Linked DNA regions of Lytechinus pictus. The protein of the gene in region 2 purifies or fractionates together with the protein of the main gene of each other region. This does not show direct contact. Links are inferred from orthologs where the notes say so. Each region holds a gene or a part of one and is shown on either strand. Other genes may lie near its edges. The genes, in order: serine/threonine/tyrosine-interacting protein B-like and F-box/LRR-repeat protein 12-like.

Region 1 (8,385 bases), on a different chromosome or scaffold from region 2:
CCTTGCCCACTTTAGTTCAACAGGGAAGAGCTCCCTATGAAAGAGGTATTAGGCAGTCTGCATGATCATCTGAAGAAATAAAATGACTCAAGATATTATGCAAGTATCTATATATATTGTACAACTCCTTACAGAAAATGACACATTTTACTTTGAGTATAAACCTACATTATATTATTATTGTTACAAGTCAAAGGTGTAATATTTGATTACAAATTGACTTTGTATTATAGTGTATATACAGTGCATAAAAAAAATACGGGACAGTTTAGAAAAGTCTATCAAAATTTAGTTTCAAATTATGATGTCTATATTTTGATGTTAATAGATGCTCTGATGTCTTATCTTTCTAATGCTTTTTTTTAAAATAGTTTCGTTCATGCTTGAGCGAACACAAGACGTTTTTGTGAGGGGTTAAAAAAAAAGGCTTGCGCCAAATGCCAGAAAATATTGATCATCAGACTTCTTGCTAGTTTTTATTCAATTTGCTCTCAATTCTTTATTTCTACATCAATTATGTTCATAGTTGGTAAATATTATCATTGGATAATTTTACATATCTGTCCATGAGGACATGAGGTCGAAGGTCGTCTAGGGGTCAAAACGTCAAATGATATGTGGTCATGTCCATCCTTTTTTGAAGTTTTTTTTGTTCAACTTGCTCTGATTTCTTTATTTCTGCATCAATCATGTTCATACTTGGTACATAATGATCCTTGGGTAATACTACATGTGTATTTATGAGGATGATGGGGTCAAAGGTCGTCTAGGGGTCAAAAGATTATATTGCATATTTTAATTATCGCGAAATCAGGCGAGACTTATGATTCGCAAACCACCTTGTTTCATTTAAATATGTTATCTTTTAGCATTGAATATTCTTTCATATTAGCTAAAGAAAAAAAATTGTTAACCTAAGCAAGGAGATATCCATTATTAATTGAAGAGCTTGTAATTTATTCATATCCTTTTATTATGTGCAACAAAGGTTATGGTGCATTTGAAAGACATGAATCCTATTGCCAAGGGGACATTGATTCCTTGAACAAGTCAAATTGTGTGCTTGACAGGACAATATTAATTCTAACAGAAGGATTCATGTCTTTCAAAGGTACCAAAACCTTTGCAGCCCACAATAAAAGGATATGATAAAATTACAAGCTATCCCATTATCCCCTTACTTGGGTTGACAATTTTTTGCTTTTACTCATGAAAAAATTCAATGCTAAAAGATATCATATTTAAAAAACACCAACAAAATAATTTAAGTAAATGAATAGATTTGTAAATGGATTTTGACACCATAATTCGAAAATTATGGCAGAGATAATGAAAAGATTGAAAGGAAGTTTGCTGATTAGCAAGAAGTCTGATGATCAGTATTTTCTCATTTTCTACTGTTTGGTGCAAGCCTTTTTTTTAACCCCTCAAAAAAGTGTTCCATGTTCGCTCAAGCATGAACGAAACTGATATTTTTCAATGGCATTTGAAAGATAAGATTTCAGATCATCTATAAACAACAAAATATAGACATCATAATTTGAAACAAAATTTTGATAGACTTTTCAAAACTGTCCCGTTTTTTTTTTATATGCACTGTAGAGTGAGGATATATCTTACTGTAGGTATATGTCTGATGATATTTTCCAATGCATTGTCTGCTACATCGAGGACTAAGTACCTGTAAATATAAGAAAAACTTTGTATAACAAGCAGAACGATGTAAGCAAATTGTAAACTGCAATCACACAAAGTCAGTATTTTCACCTTCCTATAAAGTTTTATAACACACAATATGATTATCAAATAGACAGTTTACATAATAGTTTTCAACATAGCTGTAATGTCTCATATTATTTCTATTATAATACAAATCACTCCATGATACAAAGAATCAAACCTTAAAGTTGTGTGTTTACTTACTGAAATCTGTCAGGAAAGTTTGGTTTAATGATGGTTGCCTCCGGTGCCTGTCTTATACAAAGGACATGGGTAATACCATGCTCTAACAGAACAGGTAACTAGGGGAAGGAAAATAAGAAATCTGTCATAAGAAGAGATCAATTATTAAAAAATCAATTATTGAAAAAAAAATGTTGCAATTCAAAGTAAGCCAATTCAAATATTTTCTTAATTCAAGTGCATTAACAGTGAATATATTATGCAAAGCACCATTTAATCATGAACAGTTTAAGAACCTCTAATCCCAAAATGTTAAAGTAGTCTTCAAGTGATGTAAATGATTATTTAATCAATTTTGTCTACTCTCTTGAGTACCATAGAATTTATCTAATGAATTATTAAGATGGTTTTATACCAATAAATATCTTTAATCTTCTCATGAACAGAGAGTAATTATTTTTTTGGGGTTAAGTATGGACTTTATATGATTAAAAAATAGAGTGCAGCATTAAGTAAGACCTAAAGCATATATTCTTACCTTGCTTCTTTGAGCTGCAGCATATGGTCCTAAATACAACCCAGGGAGTATTTCCTTCAAAATCAGAAAAAAGGGTCCATTGTCATCTACAGATATTATTCCTTATACATTGCAATTTATCAATATAAAATGATGATAAATATACAAACAAACACAGCCTGAAATGGGGTTGAGTCATGTAAGATTTTCCCACCATTCTGTTGGTGTCTTTTTGGTCTGAAAACTGATATTCCCCAAAATGAATATTGAACACATAAAATACAAATTTAATTATTAAATTAAAATCAAATTCTTAAGATCAGTTACCTGCATCTCCCTTCTCCTTGTGTACACCCAGTCCTGAAATAATAATAAAGATAACTTTAGAGAATATAGAGACCTTTTCGTACAATACAGACTTGTTAATGATACATAACACATAAAAGAATGCAGATATCAAAATTTCCATTATTTTTCTTTTGCTATGGGCCATGATGATGTAGACCAAATGTAGTATAGAATACAAATTGTACATTTCACCCCACAAAAAGGTTGTTCATCTTTAGCTAGATATCAAAATCATTGAATATGTTTCAATCATAAAATTAACATTAATATTAAGAATGAAATGAAAAACACAAATCTAAATCTGCATCTACTCTCACTTAAGATAAGTGAAAGAAATTAATAGGAATGTATGCTAATGAACCATACCTCTCTTATGCAAGGTCATCGTATCCTTAACAAATCTTGATCCATTTTTCTGCGCAACTTAATTCTGATTTGAATTTTCAAACTCTTCTTGCTCATCTATGAGTGAACAACTCACATCATCTTTGGTATCAAAATCAAGGAGGAAAGCTAACTTTATGAATATATGTAAATGAAATACCGTAAATTATTTGTGTATGCTGAACTTAAGAATATTAACTGCGCGTGGTTACTTCCTTTTTTGACATGTTTGAGGAATGCACTCTATGTAGTTTAGAGTACGTATGGTAAGCATAATTAAAGGAGAATAAAGGTTAAACTACATGTTTGGGGCTTCTACGAGGGGGCTTGGAAGAGGATGACTGGGATGAAAATTTTTCCCAAATCATCATTCCACTTTTGTACACAATAGATAGATACTGTATAAGCTGTTATATTCGCGTACAGAATTTCTCGCAAATTGCAGGGGTCCCGACATTTTGTGGGTTGTTGAATACGCGATCAGAAAATGTATAAACCATTTTTACAGCATTCCAGAAGCAAAAATAGTGCAAAACTTGTGCAAAATTATGCTCCTCAAACCCCCTTGCTGACGTGTCTTTTGTACTTACATATGTCCCTGTAAAAAACAGTTACAAAGTGTGAAAAAGTGACTTGAATTTCACTTTTTTTTTACCTTTAGATCTGAAAATTCATCATGTCACAGTTTGATCTGTAAGAGTAATCTTTGGAAGTTGTGTTTTGTTAGATTCATTTTTAAAAAAGTTGGTTCAGTGCAAAAATGTTGAATTTTGTGAACAAAATCTTCAAAACCATGGTCATGTGACTGATGAATATTAATGAGTATGCAAATAGCTGCCAGTACGTGTGTATAGAGTCAATCAGATGCAATCAAATCAAATCATTTTATGGAAAATACATTGTAATATTGCAGTGAGTGAATAAATATTTTTAAACATATGTCAGGAAATAATTTAGGCTCTGATTTTGTTTGAGAAATAAAAAAGAGAAATTCTAGCTAACTTTTTGAATTACTAACATTGTTTTTTCAACCTTATTTTTTTGTACATACATGTATGTAGGTGCTTATCTCCATACTTTCACTATCTTTTAAGATGTATAGCTGGCACCGAAATGGCCATCTATTTTCCATAATTACTTGAAATTATTTTGATTTAGTTGAAAACTATCACAAAAATGAAGAATATTCACCTCTTTCCTGACTCTAATTTGAATTTAAACTCGGTAAATATTGTAGTCCCATATGTAGATTTTCATGGCAACACCATGGAAGTCTACATGTGGGACTATAAAGGAAATGAGTACGAGTGTGCCGTGTCTCGTAGGTCGAGTTGATTGTCCGTTTGGCATTAAATAAGTCCCATTCGTCAGCTCCTTGGTGACGAATACTAATATAGTGAACCTCGCAATACGTGTGAGTGCTACCGTACTCCTTGGTCACCTCCGCCAAGACTTCATAGTAGGATGGGGGGTCGGGTGTCCGGACACTTTATATTGTTGAAGCCTTCTTTTTTGTCTTAAGATTACACTAAAAATATGAATTCAATAGTTGTAATCATCTTCTATTTTGTTCTCTATAATATTTTCTAACATTTTGTACTAAAAATTGATGAAACTTTGCTTGTAATTTTTTCCAAATGACTTTCTAAAATTGATCGTCCGGACACACAACCTGTCCGGACACACAACAACTGCGTATAATCATACGCAGAGTCGAGGGGCCTGTTGCATGACGAGATGAGCGATACGTAGGAACGTCCTAGGACCATTCTTCCGAGATAGGAAGATCATGAAGATTGGCGACAAATCAACGCTTTCCGTTTCACGAAGGCAATTTTGTCTTTCAAGTCTGCGACATCGTTTGATATTGATAGTATCGGAAAAATATTTAGTCTTCATCGTCACCTGAAGGCTGAACCTTTTATTTCGGAATGACGACTTTTCATAAAATAATATATTTCAATAAAAGGGGATCAAATAATGTTTTAATTTTATTTATTACTGATTGTAGAATTGATGTATGGAGCGTACTTTATGAGGTAAAAAGAGAAAAAAAATTCAAGATTCACAAGCATAACTGGATAAAATCGAAATTTAGAACACGGTGTCCATTTAGAGACACCTTTCATTGATATTTCAACGAAAGAGACCCTTGTCCGTCATAAAAATTGATTTAATTAAGTAATTTCGACATTTTATTAGTTCAATATTCTGTATTTTTATAGAAATATTATATGTAATGACAATTTTGCAAATTATGTGTTAATATGTTATTTGTTGAGGTAAAAATAGAGTTTGAATGGAGTAAACAAAATCAACAGTGTCTGATTGTATGAGACTAAAAAGGAAAATATGAGAGGCTGCGCGTGAAAAATCTAATTCATTTATTTTATTTGTCAGGTATAATGCAAGAAATACAAATGTGAGTGTTTAGAGTATAAACAAACCTCAGTTACATGATGAGTTACCGAAGACAAGGAAAATATGAAAATTGCTGCAAACATGTCCAAGTGGATAAAGTAGTGCTTTGCAATAATAATTAAAGGGTGTAAATCAATTAATCCGCAATGGAAAAAATACTATTTACAGAAATAGTGCTAACAAGTGGAATGCCTCTGGCCGTCTCACCTGCATCACGCGATTCAATATAGCAGCAGTGCTGATTTTGAAAACTACTATAACTCGCACAAGATGTTCAGTGATACTTGGTTACTCGTATTTCCACGTTTTATGAATTAGACCAATACACTTATAGAGATATGATGGCAATTCAACAAATACCCCCAACGTGGCCAAAGTTCTTTGACCTTACATGACCTTTGACCTTGATCATGTGACCTGAAACTCGCACAGGATGTTCAGTGATACTTGATTACTCTTATGTCCAAGTTTTATGAACTAGACCAACACACTTTCAAATTTATGGCTGTAATTCAACAAATACCCCAATTTGGCCAAAGTTCATTGACCCTAAATGACCTTTGACCTTGATCATGTGACCTGAAACTTGCACAGGATGTTCAGTAATACTTGATTACTATTATGTACAAGTTTCATGAATCAGATCCATAAACTTTCAAAGTTATGATGGTAATTCAACAGATACCCCCAATTCGGCCAAAGTTCATTGACCCTAAATGACCTTAGACCTTGGTCATGTGTCGTGAAACTGATGCAGGATGTTCAGTGATACTTGATTAACCTTATGTATAAGTTTCATGAACTAGGTCCATATATTTTCTAATTTATGATGACATTTCAAAAACTTAACCTTAGGTTAAGATTTTGATGTTGATTCCCCCAACATGGTCTAAGTTCATTGACCCTAAATGACCTTTGACCTTGGTCATGTGACATGAAACTCAGGCAGGATGTTCAGTAATACTTGATTAACCTTATGGCCAAGTTTCATGAACTAGGTCCATATACTTTCTAAGTTATGCTGTCATTTCAAAAACTTAACCTCAGGTTAAGATTTGGTGTTGACGCCGCCGCCGCCGTCGCCGCCGCCGTCGCCGTCGCCGCCGCCGTCGGAAAAGCGGCGCCTATAGTCTCACTCTGCTATGCAGGTGAGACAAAAATGACAACGATCATAAACGTTTTTCATATTTAAAGTTGATCACTTATTATTTATGGAAGTTTATATTAGAATATAAGGTTTAAGAATATAAAAAATATATATGTTAAACATTTCAAAGTTAAGGAGTAGAGACTACATTATTGCTTTAACATGACATAGGGGCCGAAACGGGCCTACCCAACGATTTAAAATGCGCCTCTTCGTATGGACTTTCCATAATCTTTTCTTTAATGAACTTATCTCATTTGTAATGATTGTGATGGATTCGTAATAGCATGGACCTATTACGAATGGACATTCAACGAATCCCCTCCTTTGACCCAAAGACCGTCGCCGCTAATCCTTTTATAAACAGAGCGCTGGCAGCTGACACCCATCAAGCCGGTCGTAAAACACGCTCTCACTGATGGACAGCGGAAATCAATTGTACGCTGCTCCTACCCATTGCGATGTTGTTCGTTCACTTTATCAAAAGCAACGCACAGCAGCGAACGTAAGCGCTATGAAAATGATAGCAGAAACAAGAAAACAGGCGTGCATAAACATATTTTTTACGTACATCGCTAACAACCGGAAATGAAATGCATTGACATCACCTTGCAGATCCGTATATCTACGGCAAAAAAGCAGTTGAAATTTGACGAAAAAATCTGCGGAAAAACGTTAAAATTTCATCTTTTTCGGACAGTATTGATGTCGATAGTAGCACTTACCTTCGGTCAGAAGTTGATTTTCATTTGGGCATAAAATTCCACAGGATTGATGAAATTTAACGGGATTTTTTTTGATGGACAGACGACAATCCCACATTACAGACAGCCTAACATAATGTACTGAAAAACCGGATATGAATTGCGCATTGCATTCTTGGTAATGTAGGGACTTTCCCTATTGGCAATCGGGGCTACAACATGACCGTCTTTGGTCGAAAGAGGGCCAGCTGTCGATCGGTGACGATCATCGGCCGAAAGGAGCTTGTGTAAACAATCGCCCCGGGCGGTCGTCGTAAAAACCGCGTAAAGAGAAAGTTAAGGGTTAGACAGCAGTTTTGACAGCTGGAAACAGGTGGTGGTCATAAAATGCTCTCGTTGAATGTCCATTCGTAATAGGTCCATGGTAATAGTCAGGCAGCATATGTCATGATTTACCGGCTACTTCGACAAATTGGCTAAGTCTGATTTTTCACTTTTATGTCATCGGTGACATCACAAGGAACAACTTTCAACTTGGTGACAAATTTCTAATGGTCATCTTGACCATGTGAGGGGTCAAAATGTGGTCAATAGGGGTCAGTTTTTAAAATTGCCCCGATTGTGTCGAGCCATACATCGAATTGTTTGTCTGGTTATACTGAACAAAAAAGTGTACACAATCATATACTCTTGACCTCCCGTTAGAAAATTATGACCGGAAATGTCAAAAGGTCAACAAACTTTCGGTAAATGGTACACTGAAGGTGTTAAGAAAGCTATCCTTCATTTTTTTCCCTTCTTTTTTTGCATGTGTATACTTTTTTATTTTCGATTTTGATAAGTTCATAGTCAGAAGTCCTTATCCAGAAGATATAAAGGGTCAAGACAAGGTCAGGGAAAGGTAAAAAGGTCAACAAACTTTCATTGGTAGCCAAAATACACTAAAAGTGGCTAGAATCTTA
Region 2 (7,850 bases):
TCTGTAAAATGTTTATTCTTGGACACCAACAGAACCTTCAATTTAGGTAGAGAATTGGCTAAGCCAGCAAGGACATTACCATCATAGGTAGGTGATTCTGAGAAAGGGCTGTTATCAGGCATGGTGCTTACATCAAGTTCTTCCAGCTGCTTCAGTGGTGATAGATGGTGTAAATCAAAGAGGACATTCTCACTATTGGTGCACTGATGAAGTCTAAGGATTCTTAACTGTGTCAGGTTACGACCAATCTTCTGGAGGGTCTCATTGTTCTGAGGCAACTTGCTTAGGTCTAACTCCTTCAGGTTGGGAAAGTTGTCTGTGATGCGACTTGTCCCTCGTGGTGTGATGCGATAGCAGTTCCTTAACTTCAGAACAAGAACAGATGTCATAGGAGCAGGTGTAATGGATTCTAAGTCTCGATTACCAAAACCATTAGAGCAAGTCATGTCCAGATGCTGTAGCGAATCAAGTTTAGACTGTTTAAATGCCGCAGTAAGCCAAAACGTGGGATAGTTGCATGATATCAACTTCAGAGTCTGCAACTTTGGTGGCAGGTTGGTTGAGCTTGCCTTCAATAAATCAGCCCCTCTGATGCAGAGTTCTTGCAACTTTGGGCAGCGGTTTCCAAGTTCTTGAAGCAAAGAGTCTGAGATACACTCTGTATTCTTGACTGATGAGAGGAAGCCACCGAGACTGAGGCTACGTAGGGAATCACTGAAGTAAGCAAAGACTAGCTTACGAATGTTGACCAGACTGATCTTGTAAGGTGAAAGATCCACTACTCTCCACAGTGGTTTTTGTCTTACCAGATGGTTCCACCCTCTACAAACACTGCATGAATACAACAAACAAAAGTTCTCATGAAAAGGTCAAGTCTACCTCAACAAAATTTGAATACAAAGAAAACAATTAAATGGAAAAGTGAATTTGAGTAACTTACTTTCAGAAAATATCAATAAGCATGTAACTCACACTTATGGTATACGAATTTGATACATATGGTCGATGATGTCGCACACACACATTATTTCTCTGTAAATTTGTTATATGAATTTGTAAATGAGGAAGCTCTTCATCGAATGCACATGTACAGTAATGGCACTTCCACAGGCTCAGGGAAGAATCGAACTTTATTTCAAATTACATTAACAAGTGAATTCAAATTATTTTTAAAATTACGAAAGAAATGGTGAGTAGATGACATTGTCAGACTACCCCTTTTCATTTTATTCTTTCTTGTTTTCTGTACAGGCATTTCACTGATATATCTTTAGTTTTCACAAACCATCCAAGAGGGTTTCAGTAAACACAAACAAATGTTGAGGTAAACATGATCAAAGTTTAACTTTTTTATGTGACTTTTAAAAAAAAACTAATTTGTGATACCAGAGAAGTATGACTGTTTAATACAAACATTTTATAAGATTTCTGTTGTTGCTGTTTTGGATTCTAAGGTGCTTACCATGTTCAAGTGTGAATATTTATGAACATAAATATATTCTTGTTCTAACACTTTTTTAAACAGATATTTGGTTCATAGGTTTAGTCAATCTGTGTGTCTTATGGGGCGTTGCAAGAAACTTGCAATCAGTTGCAAGTCTATTTTTGTTCCCAAAATCAAGCATATGCCGTGCAATTAATTGTAAATTTGCAATTGATTGCTAATCTGCTCAAAACAAGGAGTGTAATCTGATTTGATATAGTTAAAAGTGATTAATCGATTGTAAAATTGCAACAGAATATTTGTGATTGATTGCAAATATTTTCTTGCAACACCCCCCTTAGAATACTTTTTGAAAACGATGTCAGTTTAACAATCATGATAAGGGCAATTCCATAGGTTGGTGGACACGAGCTCAATGTGTCTTTGTACATATAGCCTATCTGAACCGTAACATGAGTAACCACTTTATCTGCACCCCTAGTAAAAACCACGTGTTCTTTATTTTTTAATTATATACAAATTTGTCTCCCTAATATACTTCTTTGAAATGGATATAATCAACTTTCATAAAGCCTTGCATGAGGACACTTTTCACTTATGTCCACTTTTCATTTTATGCATGTCCAATTCATGTAACATGAGTAACCGACACATTTCAAAGATTTGCCAGGAGCATAATGAAATTTCCCAAGTTTTGTTTTTATACAAAGGATAGTCAGACTGCGTACTCTGTTGTGATAAAGAGATGTTTAGTTCCTATCAATAATAATGGAGTTACAGCTCTCAAGTATGAGTCAAGGTGTCTCCAAATGTAACGTGAGTAACCGTGGAATAGCCGATAAGATGTCTTACCAGGCAGCTCTGCAGAGATCCTTTACAGATAGATATCCGAGTATCTGTAGCATAACACTATCAGGCATGGATCTTACTGGACATTCCCCCATCTCACTATCAATTGCACTTGATAGGTGATCAGCAACCTTCTGGGGTGTTAACACATCAGAATCAACCTGACAACAAAAAGTAGTCATCAATAATAACTATCAAATAATTTTACTATTATAGTGGAGAAAATAAGTTTATAATTTCATTCATGTTTATTCAGCTCTGCTCTTTATGCGCTTTTAAGTTTTTCATACAAAACTAGATAGGCTCTTGAGCTGCACTAGTATGCACTTGATCAAAATCTATGTTTCTGTTATTGCCAGAAAGTTAGTACTGCACACTTAACTTCTAAACTAACATGCAGTACTTGTACAATCAGATCAACACTCTCATAATACATGGATCAAGTATAATTTTTATTTATCTATTGGATCTTTATATTATATTATTGTGAGAATGAAACATGGTCTTCAAGACCCATCTCTGATCCCCAAATCTGATCAGATTACAGCCACTGATATACCAGCTTATGGAGTCGAACTCCATAAATGGTAGCTACAAAATGCAAAATATATTTTGTTTCAAAATTAAACGGAATAGGGGTACTTTGAAGATGAAACCATTTTGCTCTGATATAAAGTTCATTTCAATATTAGAGTTCAATTTTGACACAAATCCATCAAAATATAACAAAAGTTATGAATTTTCAGAGTTACAAAGTATTAGAGTTTTGATGAATTGTAATGTCGTGTTTGAGCAGCTGTCCAGTATCCTTGTCCCAAATGCATGTAGGCCTTAGTATTTTTAACTTAAATTAATTTATATTTGATAATGATTCATCCATACTCACACACACATCACCCAGATCCAAGACGGCATTCACATCAAGAGAATTTGCTGCTGAATTGCAAGGTGTCTTGGTGGTTCTTAGAGCCTTATTCATTAACGCATCCTCTTTATCTTTGGACCGAGGCATTTTGAAATCTGCAATGAAATCCACAGAATGTTTATTTGTAAAAGGGGAAACTGTATACACTGACAAAAAGTTAGTTTAAAAAATACTAGAAAAAATATACAGTGAAGGTTTGAGGAATATCCAGTATCAATCTTTTGATACTGAAGGTACAATAAAAGCCACTTCCAAGTTTTTTTAGAAAATGACATTTCATTGATTTTTTTTAAATAACCACATGACATATGGGAAAGCTGCTTGGAAATGACATCACAAATCAAAATATAAATATGTGGGCGCGTCGGCAGGAAGTAATTCCTCAAAAAAGCTGTGCGTACCAGAATCGGTAGACTAGCTTAGGCGGGATAATATAGGAGCGCCTTGAGCACCTAGCAAGGTGGATACGTGCGCTATACAACTCCTATATTATTTATTATTATATTATTATTTAAACTAATTCTAACAACTTTTTTTAAATGGCAGAAAAAAAGATGCTGAAAACTGCTTTTCTAATAAGAGAGCCAACATTTGGAGTAAATTAGAGTCAAAAGGGGCCTAAGCTTTTGATCCTAGCAGAATCTTCGTCGGAGGCAAAATGACAAACATATAAAGTGGAACAACCATAATATAGACCATAGAAATGCAACAGCAACACTAGAAACAAGGAGACAAAAAGGGCATTAATTAGAGAGTTGTGATGACCAATCAGGTTAGAGAAGGGGATGAAAGCAAAGGAGTAGGCAGACACGAAGGGAAGTTAGTGTAAGGCCAGTAAAAGACCTTAATAAGCTATGATGGATTAAGATAATTGGGCAGGCAACATCAAACAGGATCTGGAACAAAACAGTGATAGGGGGTATGAGGAATAGATGAATAACAAGAGAATTAGTGAGAGGTGGGTCAAACAGGTTACAAAGAAAGGCAAAATAAACTGGGGTGGTATTCTGAAAATGTTCTTATCTTTGTTCTTATCTTTTATCTTATCTCATTGAGATATAAGAAGACGCTAAAATCATTGCAAATCGGTATTCTGAAAATCTTCTTAACGCGTTCTTATCTCTGTAAGGACTGCCTCCTTCTTATCTTCAACACGCCCATTTTTAGGATATTACCAATCAAAATGCGCTTTATATTGTCAGTTTAACCAATAGAAGCGTTCCTTATGTCAAGAGAATATCATGGGCACTGCGCGAACACTGTTTCTGGCGCATTGCGCGAAATAGGCATTTTATACGCAATGACTGATTATTATTTCGAGACACGTGCACAATAACGAAAGAAAGAAAGAAAGAAAGGGAGCGAGGGAGGGAGGAAGGAAGGAAGGAAGGAAGGAAGAAAGAAAGGAAGTAAAGAAAAAAAGTAAATAAAGCAGGTACGAATAAAGAATAAAACAGGAAGAAAGAAAGTAGGAAAGAAAGGAGACAGAAAAGGGTCAGAACGAAGCAGAAATTTTAAAAAAAATGAAAGGAACAATTGAAAGCAGAAAATAATGAAAGAGTAAACGAAAGAAAGCAAGCAAAAAGAACTTAAATGAAGAAAAGGAAAGAAAGAAACTTAAAGGAAAAAACGAAAAAGGACCAAAAAAAGATTAAAAGGATAAAATGAAGGAATAAAAAACTGAAAAAACAGAAAAAACGAGTGAAAGAAAAAAAAGAAAGAGAAAAAGAAGGAACAAAAAAATGTAAAAGGTGAAGGAAAAGAGAAAAAAGGAAAATGAATTGAAAGAGAAATTAAAGCAAAAATAAAGACTAAAGAAAGAAATCGAAAGAAAGGCTAATTCAAAGAAAGAAAGAAATAGAACGAAAAAGGAAAATAAAAAAGGAAGAAAGATGAAGAATAAATTAAACAAAGTAAAATAAGAATAAGGAAGAGATTAAAAAATTCAAAAGAATAAAGCAAAAGATATAAATGAAGAATGAAAGATAGACAGATATAAAGGAAGAAAAATTGAAAATAGATAAAGAAAGACAAAAGGATAGAAAAAAAGGTGAAAAACAAAATAAAGGGTGGATAAAAGAAAGGATGGAAAGAACACATGTTATTACCAGTGGCCACCTTTTTTTAGCAAGAAAGAACGCGAACATCGTGAGATGTGATAACCCTCTAGCTATCTTAAATATTATCATAAATATCGTAAAAGATAAGAACGTTTTCAGAATACCACTTATCTTTATTTTGTTCTTATCTTTTTAGCGCGCTTTTGTATTATGCGCGTGTAACAAATTTACGTGCTCAGCATAGGATGGAAAGCAAGATAAGAAAAAGATAAGAACAAAAGATAAGAAAAAGATAAGAACGTTTTCAGAATACCAATTTGAGAACGTGACGTAGATAAGAACAAAATTAAGATAAGAACGTTTTCAGAATACCGCCCCTGGTGCATAAGAGTGGGGAATAAAGGGGAAAGAATGGGGAACAACTGATATTGTGCAAAAGACATTTAAGTATATATTATAAAGCAAAAAAAAAATATATATATATATGGTGTAACTAGTATTGTAAATCCGCTAGGCCTAGGGGCGAGGGGAAAAAACCCCATTAATACTAATAGAAATAATTAAGACATGAAAATGAAAAAGGAGAATATGGCCTAAAAGGGTAGAGTAAATATAGAAGCTGAGGATGTATGAGAGAGGGGGGATGTATCTGAAGAAACTATACTAGTATGATGGGGGGACCTAAAGCTACGCACTTTGTTTACAAACGATAAAAACTGTGCCAATTTTAATATTCAAACAAATGATCTTTCACTGATTTGTGGCAAACATTCTAAAGATCATAAATCAAGAAGAAAATATCACAATACTCACAAATACGAAAATCCCGCCGTGTTTTCCGAACACCTCTTAATTTCGCTGCACGATGTAGAACTAGAAGGGGTCCTAAAGCTACGCACTCGATTTATCATGCAGAAAAATAGTATTTCCTTTACTGCGGCAGCCCGAACACGTACTGTGTTCGGGCTGCGTTGTGATTCACCCCGGCTCACCAGATCAAACCAGATGAGCATCGGGAATCAATCAAAAATACATAAAATTGCACAAAACTGTTACAAAGGAATCAATACATACTTACAACTTAAGGCGCAATATGGGCGGCCCTCAAAACTTCGAAATAATTCCCCAAAACGAAGCAAAAACGTCGGAAAATTTTGCCGGTGTGCATTAAAAGTCGTTTGTACAGGAAGCAATGGAGGATCGATATAGCCTTTTGACGAGGCAACGAGATAAATTGATTTTTATCTTCGTGCTAGCAGAAAACAAAAACAAAAGAAAAATAATAGCCTAATCCTTATAAAAACAAAAAATAAAATAATAATCGATTATAATACGTTTATAATACGCTCTTCCTATTAATTTCACCCTGTTTATTCACTGAGAATCCTATAGAAATATACTAGAAGTCTTTGACAAAAGGCTATCGTATGAGGCATGCGAGAAAGGGTAATATGAATATTCATAAGTCTAACTTAGTGGCGTAATTTCTTTTTCGATGGTTTGGCTGCGTGGCAGCCAGTGAATAAATCACTATTTTAACGGCCTTTTGTTTTTATTCGATTAGCTTCTTTTCATGTAATTTTTTTCTTCATTCTTTTCTCGTGTTCTAATATTATTTCTTAGTTCTCCCTCGTGATTTCTTTTCACTTTCTTTATTTTTTATCCCCTTTTCCGTTTTGTTTTTATTATTTTCATATTTTGTTCATCTACTTTTCGTTTCGTAGTTGATTTTCTTTTCCTTTCTTTACTGTTTCATTCTTTTCTTTTTGACTTTTGCTCTTTTTTCTTCGTTTCTTGTCTTTTCTTTTCTTTTCCCTTTCGTTTTCTTTTTTATTCTTTTTTTCTTTACTTTTCTACCTATTGTCTCTATATTTAAATTAGTTTCTTTATCATCTTTTTTTTTTTCGAGAGAGATTATGCACGTGGAGTCGCACATTTTTTTTAATATGCATAATTGAAAACAATTGATACACCTTGTGAGTAAAAGGATAATTTGATAGCCTATTTTATGTGGTTTGTATTGACGCTTGAAATGATGAAGCCTATTCTTTGCAAATAATTTATTTCCTTGTATTATATTAAGAAGTACTAGTAATTTGATATCATTTCATGTTTGTATTTGAGTATTATTCTATTGTTGTAAATTGTTGTAAATTGTTGTAAATTGTTGTAAATTGTTGTACAAAATAATTATTCAGCCTTTGGCTGCGAGGCATGTTTTTAACAAACCATTATTGAATTGATTTTAGCCATACATATGGCTGCTATTTTTTCAAGCATTCAGCTTACGGTAGCTGGTCTCTGCATTTGAATTCATTTGTTATTGTTTACATGAATTATGTCTATATCTTCTTATAACCATAGGCGGCGGAAGTGGGGGCGGGGGGAGTATCCCCCCTAAATTTTAGGTGGGGTTACGAACCCCCTAAATTTTTTGTTGATAACCTTTTTTTTTTTGCTTCAATTTTTTTTGCTTGTCATTTTTTTTTGCTTTTCAAAAAAATGTGGTGCCCCCTAAAATTGTTGGCTTCCACCGCCAACTACATTGTCACCGTTGTAATTTGATCATTAT

What was found.
Region 1: the proteins of F-box/LRR-repeat protein 12-like (region 2) and serine/threonine/tyrosine-interacting protein B-like purify together in Homo sapiens (affinity purification with mass spectrometry; 4 studies listed by BioGRID and IntAct, with this or other methods). This does not show direct contact. The link is inferred for Lytechinus pictus from reciprocal best matches to the Homo sapiens genes FBXL12 and STYX.

Annotation. Positions count from the first base shown.
Region 1 is NC_087251.1:3,755,983-3,764,367, reverse strand, and holds the start of serine/threonine/tyrosine-interacting protein B-like, read right to left. Parts: upstream 3,166-8,385; 5' UTR 3,134-3,165; intron 2,780-3,133; 5' UTR 2,753-2,779; coding exon 2,747-2,752; intron 2,495-2,746; coding exon 2,441-2,494; intron 2,022-2,440; coding exon 1,924-2,021; intron 1,682-1,923; coding exon 1,621-1,681; intron 1-1,620. UniProt on the Homo sapiens protein: Catalytically inactive phosphatase. Acts as a nuclear anchor for MAPK1/MAPK3 (ERK1/ERK2). Modulates cell-fate decisions and cell migration by spatiotemporal regulation of MAPK1/MAPK3 (ERK1/ERK2).
Region 2 is NC_087255.1:1,788,443-1,796,292, forward strand, and holds the start of F-box/LRR-repeat protein 12-like, read right to left. Parts: upstream 3,362-7,850; 5' UTR 3,306-3,361; coding exon 3,180-3,305; intron 2,455-3,179; coding exon 2,297-2,454; intron 832-2,296; coding exon 1-831. UniProt on the Homo sapiens protein: Substrate-recognition component of the SCF (SKP1-CUL1-F-box protein)-type E3 ubiquitin ligase complex.